2 linked regions of the Drosophila melanogaster genome follow. The protein of the gene in region 1 interacts with the protein of each later gene in a pairwise test. Each region holds a gene or a part of one and is shown on either strand. Other genes may lie near its edges. The genes, in order: Mes2 and Cp18.

The links.
Region 2: the proteins of Mes2 (region 1) and Cp18 interact in a two-hybrid assay, tested with the Drosophila melanogaster proteins (one large-scale study listed by BioGRID).

The regions. Positions count from the first base shown.
Region 1 is NT_037436.4:22,941,972-22,953,160, forward strand, and holds Mes2 (Mesoderm-expressed 2), read left to right. Parts: upstream 1-3,685; 5' UTR 3,686-3,815; coding exon 3,816-3,969; intron 3,970-4,023; exon of another isoform or gene 4,024-4,213; intron 4,214-4,298; coding exon 4,299-4,599; intron 4,600-8,560; coding exon 8,561-9,419; 3' UTR 9,420-10,277; downstream 10,278-11,189.
Region 2 is NT_037436.4:8,723,205-8,729,593, forward strand, and holds Cp18 (chorion protein 18), read left to right. Parts: upstream 1-3,586; 5' UTR 3,587-3,630; coding exon 3,631-3,645; intron 3,646-3,819; coding exon 3,820-4,323; 3' UTR 4,324-4,409; downstream 4,410-6,389. Other genes in the region: CG6511 (uncharacterized protein), read left to right, coding at 1-929, 988-1,237, 1,288-1,599, 1,663-1,856, 1,922-2,307; CG43965 (uncharacterized protein), read right to left, coding at 2,381-2,476, 2,539-2,559; Cp15 (chorion protein 15), read left to right, coding at 5,323-5,334, 5,406-5,741. UniProt on the Drosophila melanogaster protein: Chorion membrane (egg shell) protein; plays a role in protecting the egg from the environment.

The sequences.
Region 1 (11,189 bases):
GCCAAAAAGATTTTCGCCACAAGGTGCAAAAAGTTACCATGGAAACCCTTTTTAACAAGAGAGAAAGCTATAGTCGAGTTCCTCGACTATCATATGCCCTTTACTCAGCTAGAGAGTAATTTAAACATTTATTTGACATATCGATAGAAATTGGGAAAAAATATAATAAAACGAAACAAATCGAAACATGTTTCAAAAGTGTAGGCGTGCTCTGCATGCCTAGTTGAAGTTCTCTAGCTTTCATAGTTCCTGAGATCGATGCCTTCATACGGACAAGACTAGATCCTCTGTATTTTCAACAAAAAGCTCAATGAATAACATTTTCGAAACTATTTTAACTACTGAGGCCACAATCTAATCTAATCTTGCAGACCTTGGTGTCGACTCGAATCTTATATCTTTAGCAGTTTTGAATCGGCTAACCGAGCTTAAGTTCCTCAGAAGACGATCGTTGGACATCTTTTTTTTCCGTCCCAGGCTTTTGTTTTGAGTGTCAGTTTTTCAATGTTCGTTGAGAAATCCCCGATAGAAAATGTACTTAAGCCAATGTAGTATTCATATCACGAAGGCTTAAGATGCACTTATTTTCAACATAATCCAATTTAAAATCTAATTTTTTACCTAATAAGCTTAAAAATAACTAGTTGTTTTAGAATTCTCAATTTTTATGTAAGAAATTTTCGAAATAGATCTAAATTCTATATGTAAACATAGTCTCTTCGGGGGTCCATAAATTGAATGCAAGCTAGTCTGTAAAATCAAAGTTAAGACCTATGAGAGACAGCAAGTAGAGTAAATAGGTATACAAGATTCGTTGAAAAGTATGTAACATGCAGAATTAATTGTTTCCGACCATATACGGTGTATAAATATTCTTGATCAGGATCAATAGCCGAGTTTATCTGGCCTGTCCGTTCGTCTGTCCGTCCGTATGAACGTCGAGATCTCAGGTACTATAAAAGTTGGAAGTTGGTTGAGATTAAGCTTAGAGATTCCAGAGATATAGACGCAGCGCAAGTTTGTTGACTCATGTTTCCACGACCACTATAACGCCCGAATCTGAGAATTATGTTATATTTCTTTCGTCTATTCCTTTCGTCTATTTCGATTTGATGGAATCCAGATATCAGGTCTATGTCAAGTTTGTGTGTATGTAAGTAAATTGTGGATAAACTAACCTTGTATACCCTTGCGCTCTGTGAACAAACGGTCCAATAGCTCAGGCAATCTTCAGATCTGGCCAGATACATATGCATGTAGCTGTGGATAAGAGAAGACAGCAGCGGAAGCAAGCTATTGCCTTGGTAAGGAGGGTGGGGAATCTGATATAGGGCGGAGATCGCAGAGTTTTGCCAGAAAAATGATCGTGACAACGTTTGTGCGGGCACGTTGTGCTGCTTGTTGTTGTCCCAAAACAGAATACATTAATTGACACTTGGCCGGAAATAGTTCATTAGGCATAAATTACGTACAGACAAAGCGTTTTCATTTTTCTCTGGCTCTCTGTTCGCCATTTGCTTCCCTACCGACGCGGTTGTCGATTGCAGTTACTGGATTTCAGCGGCTTAAATGATCGGGGGACAAAATAGACAACCTCGGACGGTCTTATCTGTGCTGCCACTCACACACACGCATTCGCTCAAACGCATTCTCACTCTAACACTCTCGGTGCCTCCCTGTCACTCCTTGGCAAGACCAACATGTGTGATCCAAATGTTCATTTGTAAATTCTATAAACGGGGAAATACGATAATGAACTGAACTTCGACTCTACAACTGCAGCGAACGAAGCCAGCCACGGGCGGAGTCCACAAAAACACACTGTGGTAGAACACTAACCCACCCTTCTTCAACTATTCATTGCTTAAGCTATGGCCAGGCCCCCTGGAAAAAAATTATAAATCTTTAAGTCAAGCAGCCAGCCATTGATGGAATCAGATCGTCCGATGAGTATATTTAGCCCTCTTTACATTTAACAACAAATTTGTGCTCTTATATCGTAAATTCTACACAAAATTATTTATCTTCCAGTAATTATACTCGTTACTCGTAGTATAAAAGAGTATATTAGATTCGTTAAAAAGTATTTAACAGATAGAAAGTATTCATATTATTGATCAGGATCAATAGCCTGTCCGTCCGTTGAACGTCGAAATCTCAGGAGCTATAAGAACTAGAAGGTCAAGATTATGCATACAGATTCTAGAAACATAGACACAGAGCCAGTTTGCTTCCACGCCCACAAGTCGGGCAAAACTGTCACGCCCACACTTTTGAAAACTGTTTTGATATTCTTTCATAGTTTTATTAGTCTTGCAAATGTGTATGGTTTTGCAAAAAAACTTTTAAAAAAGTTTTGATATTTTTTCATCTTTTTTAATTATAAATTTTTATCGATTATGCCACACCCACTATCGACCGTAAGCCGCAGAAACCTGTCACGGACACACATTTGAAAAATATGTTATATCTTTTTTTCACATTTTTATTAGTATTGTAAAATTCTATCGATTTGCTACAAAAACTTTATGCCACGCCCACTCTAACGACCACAAACCTCCCATTTCTTCTTGTCCAATATCTATCGATGGTCCTAAAAAATTATGAAATTTCGCGTTCTCACTTCCACTAGCTGAGTAAAAGGTATTTGATATTCGGGGAACTCGTGCGTTCTCTCTTCTTATTTATTTAAAACAAGAGAGAACAATAGTCGATTACTTTCGACTATCAGATACCCGTTACTCAGCGAATTTTGAGATTTTTTTTGTCATTTCGATGGAAATTTACATTTATATAACAAAATGAAATGAAAATCAAATCCCTTTTCACAACTGAGAGCAGGATACCTGGCCAATAAACGGTTTCATGGCGTCTGGATAGGCTTGCGAACGCACTAACTTGCATGCGAACGGACAGGCGGACAGATCAAGATTATATGTATGTGTGTACTCCAGTAAACTTATAATTATTATGTTAGTCTAAAACCTTAATGCGTTGGAGATTTACAATAAATGTATGTACATATGTACATAGTCATGAATTCTTTAAATTCCTCGAAATTGTTCCGATACGGGAATCGACCCCCCTATATTAATTGAAGCTGATATGGCCGAAGTGCAGCGTATTCTGCCAAGAAACGCTATCCAAGTATTTTGGTACGTATGTATGTATGTACATACATGTGTATATGGTACATTCATGTAGTACATACATACATATGTATGCAAGTACGTACGAACGCTCGACAATTCCTCTGCTAAAACCAAATGCGAACGCGTCAACGGATTTTTGTATTACACACATTTTCTGTTGTTTCGTTCTGCGCGTTCTCCCTGTTGTGTGTGTGTGTGTGTGCGACGCCGCTTTTCGCTTGCTTTTACTTTCTGTGGCTTGTGATTGCGATTAAACGGGGTTTCCATCCGGCGAGTCGCGCTCTAGGCAGCGCCCGGAGAGCGCTTTAGACCTATATGTCTGGATCAGATAACGGGAACGGTGGCAGCGAGCCACGGCCGGAGAGAGACAGAGAGCGCAAAGAGCTATAGCTGGCTCTCATGTCGATGTCGAATGCGCGTGATTTTTTGGCTCTGAATGCGGGCTTGCTGCCAACTGCGCTGCCGGCTCGGCGTCGACGACGGCTGAGCGCAGCCCGCTTGCCGCGGTGGTTGTTATTTTCTGGTCTTGGTTTTTAGTTGCCGTTTAAACTTGGTCGTGAGAGGGTAGCAGCCCCGTTATCAGCCGACCGCGATCGCGTCCGAACTAAAGAGTACTGTGGAGCCCTGGCCAGTTCAAGCCTTCAAATCCTCCAGAACATTCTGATGGCGCCCGTGAGCGGCTGTTTGCCCACCGCCACCCACTCGCTGCAGGACATGAGTGCTGCCGCCGCGGCAATCGCTCTTGACATGAAGCCCAAGTTGGAGCCCCACCCCCTGGCCGCCGCAACTGCCATGCCCTCTCAGAAGATAAAGAAATGTGCGTACACAGATTTATTCCCCACATTCATGCAAACATACGTACATACATATGTATATATGTACAATTTTTATGCAAAATGCAGTCGAAAGTCGATACGTCGAACAAGCAGTAGAATTTATTTTATCTCTTCATTGCCTATTCAAATAGTTCGGTTCACCCTATGTGCAATGTACATACATATACGTACATACGTATGTATGTACATTTGGGTTAAAAAAGTTCGACTTATAGAAGTTTTGAGGTGCCTGTACCGTGCTTTCTTAAAATATTCGACTGTCGAGACTCGAGGACTTATATTATTTGCATTCATTTTTGTGTCCCAACAGTGGTTCGGCGCAACGCCTCCGACAAGCTGAAGCTCATCCAAATGGTGCACGACAATCCAATTCTCTGGGACTCCCGTCTCCCGAATTTCAAGGGCGCCGAAGAAGAAAAGAACCGAGCCTGGGAGCACATAGGCCGCGAGTTCAACGCTCCCGGGCGTCGCGTTGCACGGGCCTTCAAGTCCTTGAGGGAATCCTACCGCCGTGAACTCGCCCACGTCAAGCTAATGGGCAATGGCTTCAAGCCCAAGTGGAGTCTCTATGAGGCCATGGATTTCCTGCGCGATGTCATCAGAGAACGAAAGTAAGTATAAGGAATAGTATTTTAGTGAACTGGTGACCAGGTGATTCTCTTAAATTTAAAACCGTCAAGGAAGTTTCATGCCAATATCGACTCCTGGGGTTGACCAGTAATATAGAGCCCGTTATGAATTTTGCATTCTCTGCTTGACCCATTATTGCCACACCACAAATCATGTCACTAAAAATGATCTTCATCCAAATGGCTTTACAAAAGCAAAAGCAATAATAGAACACGAGAGAAGAGCGCTTAAATTTAAAATTTGACAGAAATACGAGTCATTCTTATAATCGAATAGTAAAGTACATGAAATTCTATATCAACGAATAATTATTACAGAACGTATTGCACTTATTTCCAAGTTTTCTTTTAATCTTTCTAGGCAATATTTACCTTTCCCAAAATGATCTTAATTAACGTACTTATTCTTATCCTCTGCTTTTTGGAGATCGATACCAAAACAAATCTAAAAGTGGAACCGTTATTTCTCAAAAGTAATGCTCCCTTACGACTACAGTTCTTCAATAATATCGTCTTACACTCTGAACATTATTTGTGTCAGGAGTACATTTGGCTACTTATATTACAATGAGTTTGATAAGCCGTCACTAACCATACAACCATCGAACAACGGTCAAAGTTTGGCTTGAGTCGTGAATAACAGTTTTCGGTTTAGATTGGTCTTCTGTTTTGGTCATACACGGATTGATTCATGCGAAACAAATACATGCATCAGTTTGAAGACTAGCTAACTTATACACAATAATAATGTGACTCACCTTTCCAACGATCATTTACATTGGTCGAAGGTATTGTATGCTTTCCAGTCCTGTGTCTGAAAGAGGTTTTTCCGAATCTGCCCCCCTAAAAATATGTGTGCTTGTCAGTAGTCAGTCAAGCGAACAATGTTGTTTAGCTTGGCTCAATCAAAAATAATTATTGCAGGAAATTCCAAGAATCTTATCATTTTATGCGAGTAGCCACTTCAGCTTATGTACACTGAGAAGTGTATGAGTTTGTGAGTCATGGCTTAGATCTAATGTTGGACAAAATATGTCAATAAATTTATTTCAAAAATCATAGAATCACGGACTTCGTAAAGATCTGACAATTTAAATAAATTGAGAATTCGGAAATATGTTCAGATCGAATAGACAATACATACAATTGTCACATAAAAAACATGTGATAAGTTTAGCATAAAGTTATTCGAACCGTAACTACGAAATTCCACTTCCATTCGAGCCTTCGTACAAAACTCATCCCTTAGCCCAGTCGATTTGCATAAACGCCCAACAATTCGAGCAAATCTCAGCACCGTGTCTGAGAAAACATCTGCCCAGCGAAAAAGAATAGCAAAAACAAGGCAAGGGGGCATATGGACACTAAGGAGCGGTAATGTGGAAAAAACCAATCCGAACAAAGGAATGACCGGGCCAGAGACCCGCAAATGGTCTCAGTCGAGAGTCTGCCCCGTCCAATGTTCTGGCTCATATGGAGCCGTGCTCGAGCTGCGGGTGTGTGTGTGTGTGTGAGTGTGTGTACTTTATGTACATATTTATATGAAATAAGGCCATTTCCTTTCAATTGACTGTACCCACATGGGCAACAAGCAGTCGACGGCCCCGACACATGCCCGCGCACACTCACCCATGGTGTGTGTATATATTTAAATTTTTATTATTGTGAGCTGATAACAGACAGCTCAACGGGCCCGGCCAGTCGGGCAGCGCTTGAGCCGGAGCTATAGCCGCAGCTATAGCCACAGCCATAGCCATAACACAGATCTCGCCAAGCGGCGAATATTATACAACGTCGCAGCATCGTCGCTGCTTGAACCAAAAACGAAATTGAGGGAAGCTGCAAACGCAAGACCAAGTCCATCGAATAGTGCTTGCGAGAGGGGTGGGGACTATGGGAAGGCGCCGAGAGAGCGATAAATTAATGAGAGCACTACGAAAATGACAATCAGCACCGAAGAATACGGATTGCGAGTGGACCAAGTTGGGAAAGACTGGTAGCTCGTGAGCGAGAAAGGGGCTGGTAAGGGAAAATGAGCGAGGTTCTGCCTGTGTGTGTATGACATGAGCACCGAACACTCGTAAAGATCGCTGTATGGGTGAGCTGAGTAATTGAACGAATAGCTTGGTCTGACTTCGGCCAGGGTTAAAAATATGCCCACGACCATTAGCCAGCCGCATCGGCCGCGTCCCGGCCAAGGGGTTGCTGAGACCCAGAGTCGGGGTCTGGACGCCTCTTTCAGGCTGCCCTGGCCCACATGCTTTCGTCGTTCAGTCCTCTCTTAATGGGGGGCTCTCGTACCCTCACCCTCACACACACGAGGCCACTTGGGTGTGAAAGTTCTGCTGGGCTCTGTCTGTGTCACGCTTATGATTTAATAAGCAAATGTGCTGCGAAATTGCTGAAATTGTTTGGCTGTCCGTCATCCCCACAATCCGAATCTCGCCCCACGCCCTGAAATCACTGTCCGCCGTATTTCGCATTGAAATGCTTTAGCCAATGCGTCACGGAAGAAGAAAAGTGGGCGGTAGTCCGTGCTTGCCTTTTGATTCTCGTACCTTTAAATGCCTTTGCATGGAGCTAGTTCTTGCCTAATAAATCATAATAAAAAGTTCTAGGTCTGCAAAAATCTAAAATCTCATTCGGACCATTGGAATATTTAATTATGTTATTATTATATTAATATTCATAGATTTGTTTCCAAGTGCAGGTGATAGAGATTTTAGAAAACGAATTCAAACCACAAAAACCCATAAACAATCTCGGAAAACGGCTTGGGACCTAAGCAAGAGCGGAAGCAAATAATGATAAGCTGAGCGATTCAAACCCCGAAAAGAAACCAAGTCAAAATAATGAAGTAAATAAAGCCATTCCCGATTGTGGAACATGTGAAAATGTATTTCGACTCGATTAGTCCTGCGAGTTTTTTGGTCTTGGCTGGCGAGCGAGTATCAGTTTTCAAATTTTACAATTGTCAACTACCTGCAGCCGATTGCGGTGATAAGGCTGTCTTCTAGGTCGCCCATGCCCGTGCCTACCACTAGGCCAGGTCTTTGCATTCGGCAAATAACTATAGGTATGGGGGAGGCCCAAAATAGCCACGTTCAGATGTTCTTTGAGCACCCGGCCCAGGCAGCTGCATTGCCTGTGAAAATGCTCTTGAAACTTGAGACGCGTAAGGAGAGAGACAGGAAGCGATACTACACTGAAAGACATTTATGTTTATGCATTTCTTGTGTTATTGCCTTAAACAGACAAGATTTCAAAATGGGGATATGAATCGTTGAGTCACAGGAAACATATGAACTCTATAAGGCTAATACAATTATATTTTTGTGTGTTTTCGAACTCACAATTAATACGAACATGCTTTCCTTATCAGGGTCACTATCCGATCGCAATGTCCGTCGGCATAAAACAAAGCTAATTAGTTGATGACAACCTAGCAAAGTTTTACGAACTTATTGATTTGTCTTTCAGACTATTCTATTTCTAATTTTTTGCCCAACGTTTTGCAAATGATTATTGCCAGCATTATTTAATATTTTTTTATTTATTGTAATTAATATAATTTAAGATAAGAGAAAGAAAATCTGTTATACTATAAATGATGTGTGAGAGACAAAGAAAAGTATTCTTTCTACTTTTAATTTAAGAACGTAGGCGGTTCTTAAAGTGTATTAAAAACAATGTACATAACCACTAGTCACGGTTATATGTTATTGTATTTAATAAATTTATTAATCTTTTTGTATGCCCTTTTAAACAACCTCCTTCATCAAATTTTTATTAGTATTCAACTTAACATCAATACAAAATAAAAAAATACCGCAGACTTGCTGCGAATATGAATATTGAATATGACGCAAAAGTAAAACCCAACCTTAAACCCGTTAAAATGTGAAATAATTTAGTCTTCTAACATATGTTCTTTCTATTATAGGGGCGCTTCGCATGCAACCGATCTAAGCCTGACAACCTATGGCCATATTAACAATAACAACAACAACAACAACAACAGTAACAGCTTGGCTGCAGGGGGAAAGGCAATGACCCTGAAGCTGTCCAATTCCTTTAACGAGTCCGCCTCAGTGTTAAATCTCTCAAAGTGCTCCTCGCTCAATGTAAGCGACGATCACTACTATTGCGACTACTATGTGAAGCCGGAGCTGGATCTCTCGGTGGGCGGTGGGGCCGGAAGTAGCACAAGTGGGAGTAGCTCCGGCGGCGGGCCACTTCCTCTGCCCGCTCACCAGGCTCACAACGACAGTCGGGTGAGCTCAACGAGAAACGAGCAAAGGGCACAGCATCACAGCTATGAAGACATGGACGACAGCTCGATACGCAGCGGGGACGAAGATATCGCCCACGCATCCGACGTAGTGGAGGAGTTGGATGCCATCGATGCAGATTTCCCTTATCCTCTGATTCTGGATTCCAACTCACGCGGTAGCCCCAATGTTGGTGTGGACGATGTGGTCATGTCCCGCAAGCTTCGCCGTAACGTCGATCAAGATGTTTTGGAGGAAGGAAACGGTCACGGCGATGCGGTTATCGATGGTGACGACTACGAAGAACAAATGCTGCAACAGCACCGCCATCTCCGGCAGCAACAGGGCGTCGCAAGCGGAGGGTTGGATCTGCCGCCCCCACAAACTGTACGTGAGGTTTTGAACTCCAAGTTCTGCGGCTTTATTTCAGCCAAGCTAAACAGCATGGAGGACTCGGACGCGGACAATTTAATGAATCGCATTCTTCTCTTACTGGTTCAAGTGCAGCAGTGCGAAGGGTCCACGAAATAGACAGCGGAGGAGAAGAGCGCTAAGTGTACGGGTGTAATTATAGTAGCCAAAAAAAAGTACATAATGGAATGATGTTGCTGCTCAGAGCACTTATAACTGAATTTTCTTGCCATTATATATTACTTTCCTAAAGAAATACAAATTTACTTGCCAATGCCAAATCTGTGCCATACCAAAAGGATCAATCAAATATGAATGATTTTCTAAAACATTCTCTAATTTTTTCGCTCCTATTAACAAAAATGAACCAAACTCAACGAAAAGACAACACAAAGACGTAAACCAAGAAATAGCAAAATAAGAAACATAGATTAATTAAGCTTTAAATGTTAATTTCGTTTTAAGTCGATCAACTGTAGTTCATACTCATGCCAACGTCTCATCACATGAAACAATTCTTTATATAACCTTTTATTTTACCCAGATTATATCGCCTATATATAATATAACTTCTTGTTAAGTTGAAAACGTAGAAATTAGAAAAGAAAAGTTTTTAACTTAAAAAAGCGAGCATATTACTCATAGTTTCATATACAGCGATATGAATATTAACAATATCTGAACACTAAATGAGAACAGCTTTAACAATTTGTCGTTTTTGAATAAAACACCATCTTTGGCAGTAATGCTTTGCTATCGATGTACGCAGACAATGTTTTGGCCATTCAGCCCAATTTAAATCAAAAATTTTGAAAAAGTTTTCCGTTTTTCGGTGGATATTGAGTAATAAAGTACCTTTAAATATAAAAAAATCAAACGTGTCTACCGAACATGAACATAATCAGCCGATTTTTATTAATTTAAATCCGAAATTATTTATAGTCAGGAATAAATATTTTATATCGATACCAAATCAGGAAACTTTGTTATCCATTTTATTCTTGCGATTATTGCTATGGCATTCACGACTGACTAGCTTTATAGACTAGGCAGTTCACATTGATGGAGCATTTATAACTTTTACGGTTGCAAATGCCCCCTTTACTGTGTGGCAAATATCTGACTAAAATCAATGTACCTTCTGCAAAGGTATACAAATTATTAATAATGCGAAAGGGGATTTTTTTCCTCTTGTTGGTTTCGGTGTAAATCTACATACTTAAAGCTCCTAAACTAAACAAAATTTGAATATGATACTCAAATAGCAACAACAGCCCTACGACAATGGAAAGCACTCACATTGGGCCTGTAACACATCCATATAGCATCCTGCCAATTCTGCTCAAGTAAGACTGCAGGAATTCCAATTCATTAATACAGAGGACGTATAGGCGAAGAACAAAGGAACAAAAGACTACAACAACGTATAAATACCATGGCAGGCAGATGTGGGTAAGCCTAGCCAAAAAAAACGGCGAATCGAGCCTGGGTATCGCTGCATATGACCGAAAAATTTATTAAGATAAATACATAGCCACATCGAAACCTACGGTAAGCAACCCCTATCAAGAGATTCGGCCTGGCCAAGGTATCTAGCTACCTCAAACCCTTAAACCCAAAAAGAGCGTTGCGCATGCGCAGAAGATGCCAAAACTCAGCCCTAGCCTCGACGCAGCCCAAAACTGGTTTTTCAACGCAATAATAGCTGAATGAATTCATTGAAGGCCGTAATGCAGTGCCCCTAAGGGATGCTGCCTGCGTTAGCACCTCTGTTGCTAAAAGAAGCGGGTTCAATGACCGTGGCCGGCTGTTTACAATTTTAAAGAGCCAACATTTTCGTTAAACTGGAACTTAAAATTGGACCGAGTATGTCAACTATATATCAGCAAT
Region 2 (6,389 bases), about 14 Mb from region 1:
CGATGCCCTGAGAGACTTTAAATCTCATGCCAAGAAGTCCAAGCCGGCTCCTCTAATAGCTACAACTGCTGAGCGGTGTAGCTTTTCTTTGGAGCACATTAGTGCTGGACTATCATGCCTGCAGTATTTCAATGGAAGTCAAGAGGAGAAACTGAAGGAATCGGAGACAAATGCCAAACAAGAGGAGAAGCGCCGAATTCTGCACGAGGAGCAAAATCCGAACATGGCGAAGCCTTGCAGCGCAATTCCATTACCATACGAGCAGCTTAAAGTGAGCCAGCAGCCAACACAAGTTGTGAAGAAACCAAACTCCAAAACGCAGGCCAAACGCAGCAAATCTAAGGAACTCACCACTACCACCAAGTCCAAATCCGCCAATGCCAGCAATCAGCAGATGAGTGCCAAGTTTAACACACAGCACTTTGGCTCCTGGAACGTCCACTTAAAACTTCTGCTGTTAGAAAAGGCCTGCCTGACATTTGCCACCCTGGCAGAGCACTATTATGAATCCCGCCGGTACGGATCTACCTTGCGATCCATTGAGCTGGCCTGTCGTTGCCAACAAGTGCTCAATAAGTATATGGCCAATGTGGTTTCACAGTACAGTTGCTTGCTCGGCCGGGCAGGTGACTGTTTTTTCCAGATTTCGAAAAACTGGGAATCCATTGAGGAGTACATCCAGCAGTTTGGGGAGTTGGATCCCTCGATGGATTTCATCGGCGACGAGTTGGCTCAGGAGCTGGAAGGCGAAGAAGAGGAACTGCCCTCCTTGGCGCCTTCCAACAATGTGGAGCAAGTGATGCTGCACAGCTGCAAGTGCTACGAACAAGCATTGGAGCATGCCCAGAAAGCGGAAAGCAATGAACTGCTTCGGCGACTAGGAAACGTGCGGAACGAGCTTGGTCTTAAGTACATGTACTGGGCTCAAGGTACGCAGCGCAACTATTGAAATCATAAATATATACTAATGGAAATTATAAATTGCAGAGGAATACAGTGAGTTAATGAAGAAGAAGGAGTCCACAAAAGACGCTGGAAATGACCAAACGGAGGATAGCCCAACGGCAGATCCTTCCGAGCCGTTGTATGTGAAACTGACAGTTAATTCTTATGATTGCCTACGTCGAGGAATAGAAGCCTTCACTGCCGTGAAAGATAATGTCAATTTGGCGTTTCTATATTGCAATATTGGTAGATTTATGCGCCTGCGCGCCCATCTTATCATGCCCAATGAGAGGTAAATAGTGTTTTAATAATCATGATTCGTTTTAACTCCTTTTCATTTAGTGCCATAACCTTAGAAAGCCAAAAAGCCTTCTACAACGAGGCATTCAGCTATTACGTGAAGGCCAAAGATTGTCTGGATACTCGTAAAGCAAACCCCGAACTATGGGACCTCGTCCATTGGGAATTATCCACTGCCACTTTTACGTTAGCTAAACAACTTCAGGACCACAGCGCAGCAGACAAATCCAGCCTAGTTGACGCCTCCAAAGAAGTGCTGGAATTGCTTCAGAAATCGTTGCGACTTTGTGATGTCGAACACCCTGGTGCACGACAAGTGCTATACAGTTTTCGATCGGGCTTAATACACAAAAGGTAGGACGGAGGACTATGAGTTGCAATTAGCAAATGCATAAAAACAATTATTGACTTTTCCAGGATTGCTTCCTTCCACTACTCGCAGCTGCGTTCTCATGGCTGTTGTGATTTCTCTCAGCTGCCCAAATCTACTCTACAGCTCTGTAAATACCACTACGAGAAGGCCACTCAAATTCTAGAGAGCCTTAAGGAGGTGGGAGACCTGTTGGTGGTGCAGCTAGAGCGGATTTCCCTTCATGAATTTCTGGCCGAACGTGAGTATACCAGATGGTAAAGGCCACTAAGAGTTAGAAAATAAATTAATTCAATTTTCCGGCAGTTTCCACTCACACCGCACAGAAGATCAAGCAAATGCAAGCGGCTTTGGAAATTTGTTTACAGTGTCACCTCATATTTGCCCACGTCATCGATACTAACAGTGGCCAAGTGGCCGATGACGAGTTCGCCGGCCATTTGACGCTCTTTGAAAGCCGCCTGCAGAATGCGCTGAAGACGCTTACGAAGCTCACGCTGGCCGGCAAGGATCCCAAGCAGTTGTCAAAGCTGTACAAGCGCATGTATATGGAAACCTTGACTGGGAAACATGGCCTAGGGGCCCAGCAATCGTCGACAGCTTGCTTAAAGCATTTGCACATGCTGCTCGCCCGGCTACGGGCCATGTGCGAAACACAGCTGGCCCCGCGACCAGCCGTACGTGTCTTCTGATAGGTTTTGCCCCAGAACCCACAACAGTTCGAATTGTATGCATTGCTTGACGCTTGTTTATTGATGTATCATCTCAGCCCCGCCGCCCGCAGCCGCATTCATCGCTCTCCAAATGATCTGCTCCGATCTGCAAAGCAGCCAGTACAAGCAGCACAGCCAACTGTAGGATCTGCAGATTGAAATTACCATTAATGTGTCCATGCCGATGAAACCATAATCATCTCATCTCACCTTGCAACGCAGACTACTCATTTTGTAAGCGTTTGGAGACAGTTTTCTGATCTTGTCATCGGCAGCTCGGCTCTTATAAAGTCTGAGGGCCCTGGCCCAAACGTGTCGTTTATCTAGATTAGCCTCCGCTAAATATCTTGTTCAACAAGCTGGCTATATCGGACTTGTGATGGATGTTCAGATCCGTCAATCTTGGCTTGAGGTTTCAGCCGACTTACATTTGCATTGTATTGCGAATAATGTTACTATTTAATATTTATCGTGTCGTCGTTGGCGCTAGTTCCAGTTTCCAGTCTTATAATATTTTTACTTAATTCCTAAGAGCAAAGCAACTAGCTTAAATCCCAATAAAGCAATCTTGAAGAGAAAATGCATACGGAGAAAGATCGTTTTCACTCGTCTTCTGGCTACTGGATGCTGGTACCCTGAGCCTGGCCAACATCTAAATAATTTATTATTCATTATTAAATGTTTGCGCCCGCCCATAAGCCATTCACAATTTGTGTAGCGCCAATTGAATGTTATAAAAAGCTTAGTGCGGCAGTTTGGAAAGTGGAACGGTTGTGTTTATAATTTTATTGTAATTTTATCTCAATTTTTTTTGCTTTTGTATATAAATTCTACCAACGCAGCAGAATTTTCAGGCCACTGCCTTGACTTCACTGTGTCACTGAAAAATCGGTGTCAAGCTCTCGGCACCGTGGGGCAAAGCAACTGCAATACTGATCGAAACTATGCGGATCCGGAGCACGAAGAGTCATGCGGTCGGAATCTTACGTAATGGGTCTCGTCTCTGGTAGACGATGGCGTAAGCACAGACGCCTGCTATCTGGACCGGCCCGAATTGAGAGCCAGCATTTTGGCCAGTGCGGATTCGGCCTGGCTGCACGTCTCCGGCGGCGTCTCAAGATTGCTGGACAAAGAGGCGAGGCCTGGAACTGCGTCTGCGGGAACCCGGAGAGCCGAAACTTGCATCATATTCGTCACGTAAGAGTTGGGCCTCTGCCTGGATCTGGTATAAAAACAAAACATTGCGCCAGAATAAGACATTAGTTACCTTCGCATCGATCAACTAACCAACTCAGCCTCAGAATGATGAAGTTCATGGTAAGCCTTAAGTTCCAATATTGTTTCTATTGACACCTCAACTGAGTCCAGTATGATCCTTTCAATAAAATATAACTACATATTATAATAATTGGATAATATGATTGGATCTTTCTTTTCTAATACACTTCAGTCTAAACCCAAATTAATTGAATTTTTTCTTGAATCCCTTAGTGCATCTGCCTCTGCGCCATCTCTGCCGTTTCGGCCAACTCCTACGGACGTTCCCGTGGTGGATACGGTGGTGCCCCAGTCGGTGGCTATGCCTACCAGGTGCAGCCTGCCCTGACCGTTAAGGCGATCGTTCCCTCATACGGTGGTGGATACGGCGGAAACCATGGAGGATATGGCGGTGCCTACGAGTCGGTGCCTGTGCCCGTGTCCTCTGCCTACAGCGGTGCCAATGTGGGATCTCAGTACTCCGGTTCCGGCTACGGCGGTGCCCCACCAGTTGATGCCCAGGCCATTGCCCTCGCCAAGCTCGCCCTGGCCGCTCCCAGCGCTGGAGCTCCTCTGGTCTGGAAGGAGGCTCCCCGCTACGCCCAGCCCGTCTATCCCCCCACCAGCTACGTGAACCAGGAGTACGGACACAGCGAGAAGGTGAAGGGAGGCTCCGCAGCCGCTGCTGCCAGCTCCGTGGCCGCCGGAAAGAAGGGCTACAAGAGGCCCAGCTACTAAGTGGCAAAACGTTGAACAGTGAACCAAAAACTTACCTGCCCATAAGGAACTAGGTCATAATAATAAAAGCCAAAACATCAAGACTTAAAATTTTGAGTACTGTATTCTTGCTGGGTTTTTAGTTTCGGGCCGAGAATTGAGATCTGCATATCTTAGCTGAATTGGCATAGACTTGCGGTTCATTGCAATGCCAAGCGATACTTTGAGCCAGCAAAAATTTCGTGGTTTCGTAGTTAAATGAAAATGCTGCTTAAAGTGCTAAAGAATAATTCTCATGGCGAATGAAGCTGAAAAGCTAAAACTAAATTCATTTGTGGGGCCACTTTAAAACTATAGTTCGTCAAATAAGCCTTGACTTTTTTAAGTTACCATAAGTAAAGAACCTATTAGATAAAATGAGATTAGATAGAATATAGTTTTGCTTGAAATTATGTTTTTGTAAAATTTCAAAATGATTGAAATACTTTAAAATGTTTTAGTTATAATTTTAAGTTTTGTATGTGACTAGTGGTCACTTTAAAGGGATGATTCTATATAGGTTTTATCAGAAAAACCGGCTGGAACCAGTTCTAGAAGAATCCTCACTTAGACAAGCCAAGTTCCGGACACAACCGACCTGGAAACCATTACCCCCGAGAATGTGGATAATATAAAGTTCAATTCAACAAATTTTGGACTGTATTCGAAAATAAACGCGTTCGTGGTTCCCATTTGGAAGAGTCGCGTGTTCGTAGTGCTATCACTACCCAACACCCGGTAGAATAGCACATCGCGTAACCAAGCGATTTTATAATGGCTTGACAACAAGTACATAAATCAAATGTGAGTATATTCCAGCCGGGCAATTATGAAATGCCATTTCTGGGCTGAAACAGAACAATTAGTGTATATAGGTCACGTAAATGTCCAGGCTAAAATTTGCGTATAAAAGCGAGCGTTTCTGGTCGGTAAATCATAGTTTGATTGATTACCCCAAACCAACAAAACTAAGCACTCACCATGAAGTACCTGGTAAGTTGTGGTAGTCCCCGTGAAGGAGTGGCAGCCAACTGATCCTCCGGATTTCCCCTTTTCACCTTCAGATTGTCTGCGTTACCCTGGCCCTTTTCGCCTACATCAACGCCAGCCCAGCGTACGGCAACCGTGGAGGTTATGGTGGTGGCTACGGTGGTGGCTACGGTCCTGTTCAGCGCGTCGTCTACGAGGAGGTGCCCGCCTACGGACCATCCCGTGGCTACAACAGCTATCCCCGCAGCCTGCGATCGGAGGGTAATGGAGGAAGTGCCGCTGCCGCTGCCGCCGCTTCCGCCGCTGCCGTGAATCCCGGAACCTACAAGCAGTACGCCATTCCCTCCTACGAGTTGGATGGCGCTCGCGGCTACGAGATCGGACACGGCTACGGCCAACGTGCTTACTAATTCTCGCTTCATCGGCAGTGAATTGAACTATCGACTCCTTGCTAAAATCCTCGAGTGGCTGTCATGGCGAAACTCTGAGAATCAGTGAATAAAAGCAGCTTGAACGCAATGGAAAATACCGAAAAGAAATACGTATTGTGTGTTTTGCATTGTGACATACTTTTCAGCGCATTCGGGTTAAGATTTAGCGGTGGGTCATTATTATTATTCCACACACAAGATGGGTTTCAAAGTGGGGCAGCTAGAATATTCACTGCGGCAGATTGTACAATACTATATAGAAGTACTATTGCACTTTAAGCTACAAAGTCGACAGGTTAAGCTTCAGTGACTCAAGAATTTAGTCACCTATGAAACCCTTAGTTTCACTAATAGATTCTTAGACGAACATCTTAAATTGTATAATCAAACAAAGGGCTATATATATTACAATAACATATTTGCCAATGTGCATAAAGGCATAGACTCTGAAGTTATGTTTTATCGTTAAAATTTGGTTTGTTCTGTTTACTTGAAGGTATAGATAATATTATAAAATCCATATCCAATAACCATTGGTCAGTCGTTGGCCCGTTATCCCATTAACCCGCTTGCGTTCCCGCACGCACCCAAATGCAACCATTGATTTTGGGCCTCAGTTGGGAGCAT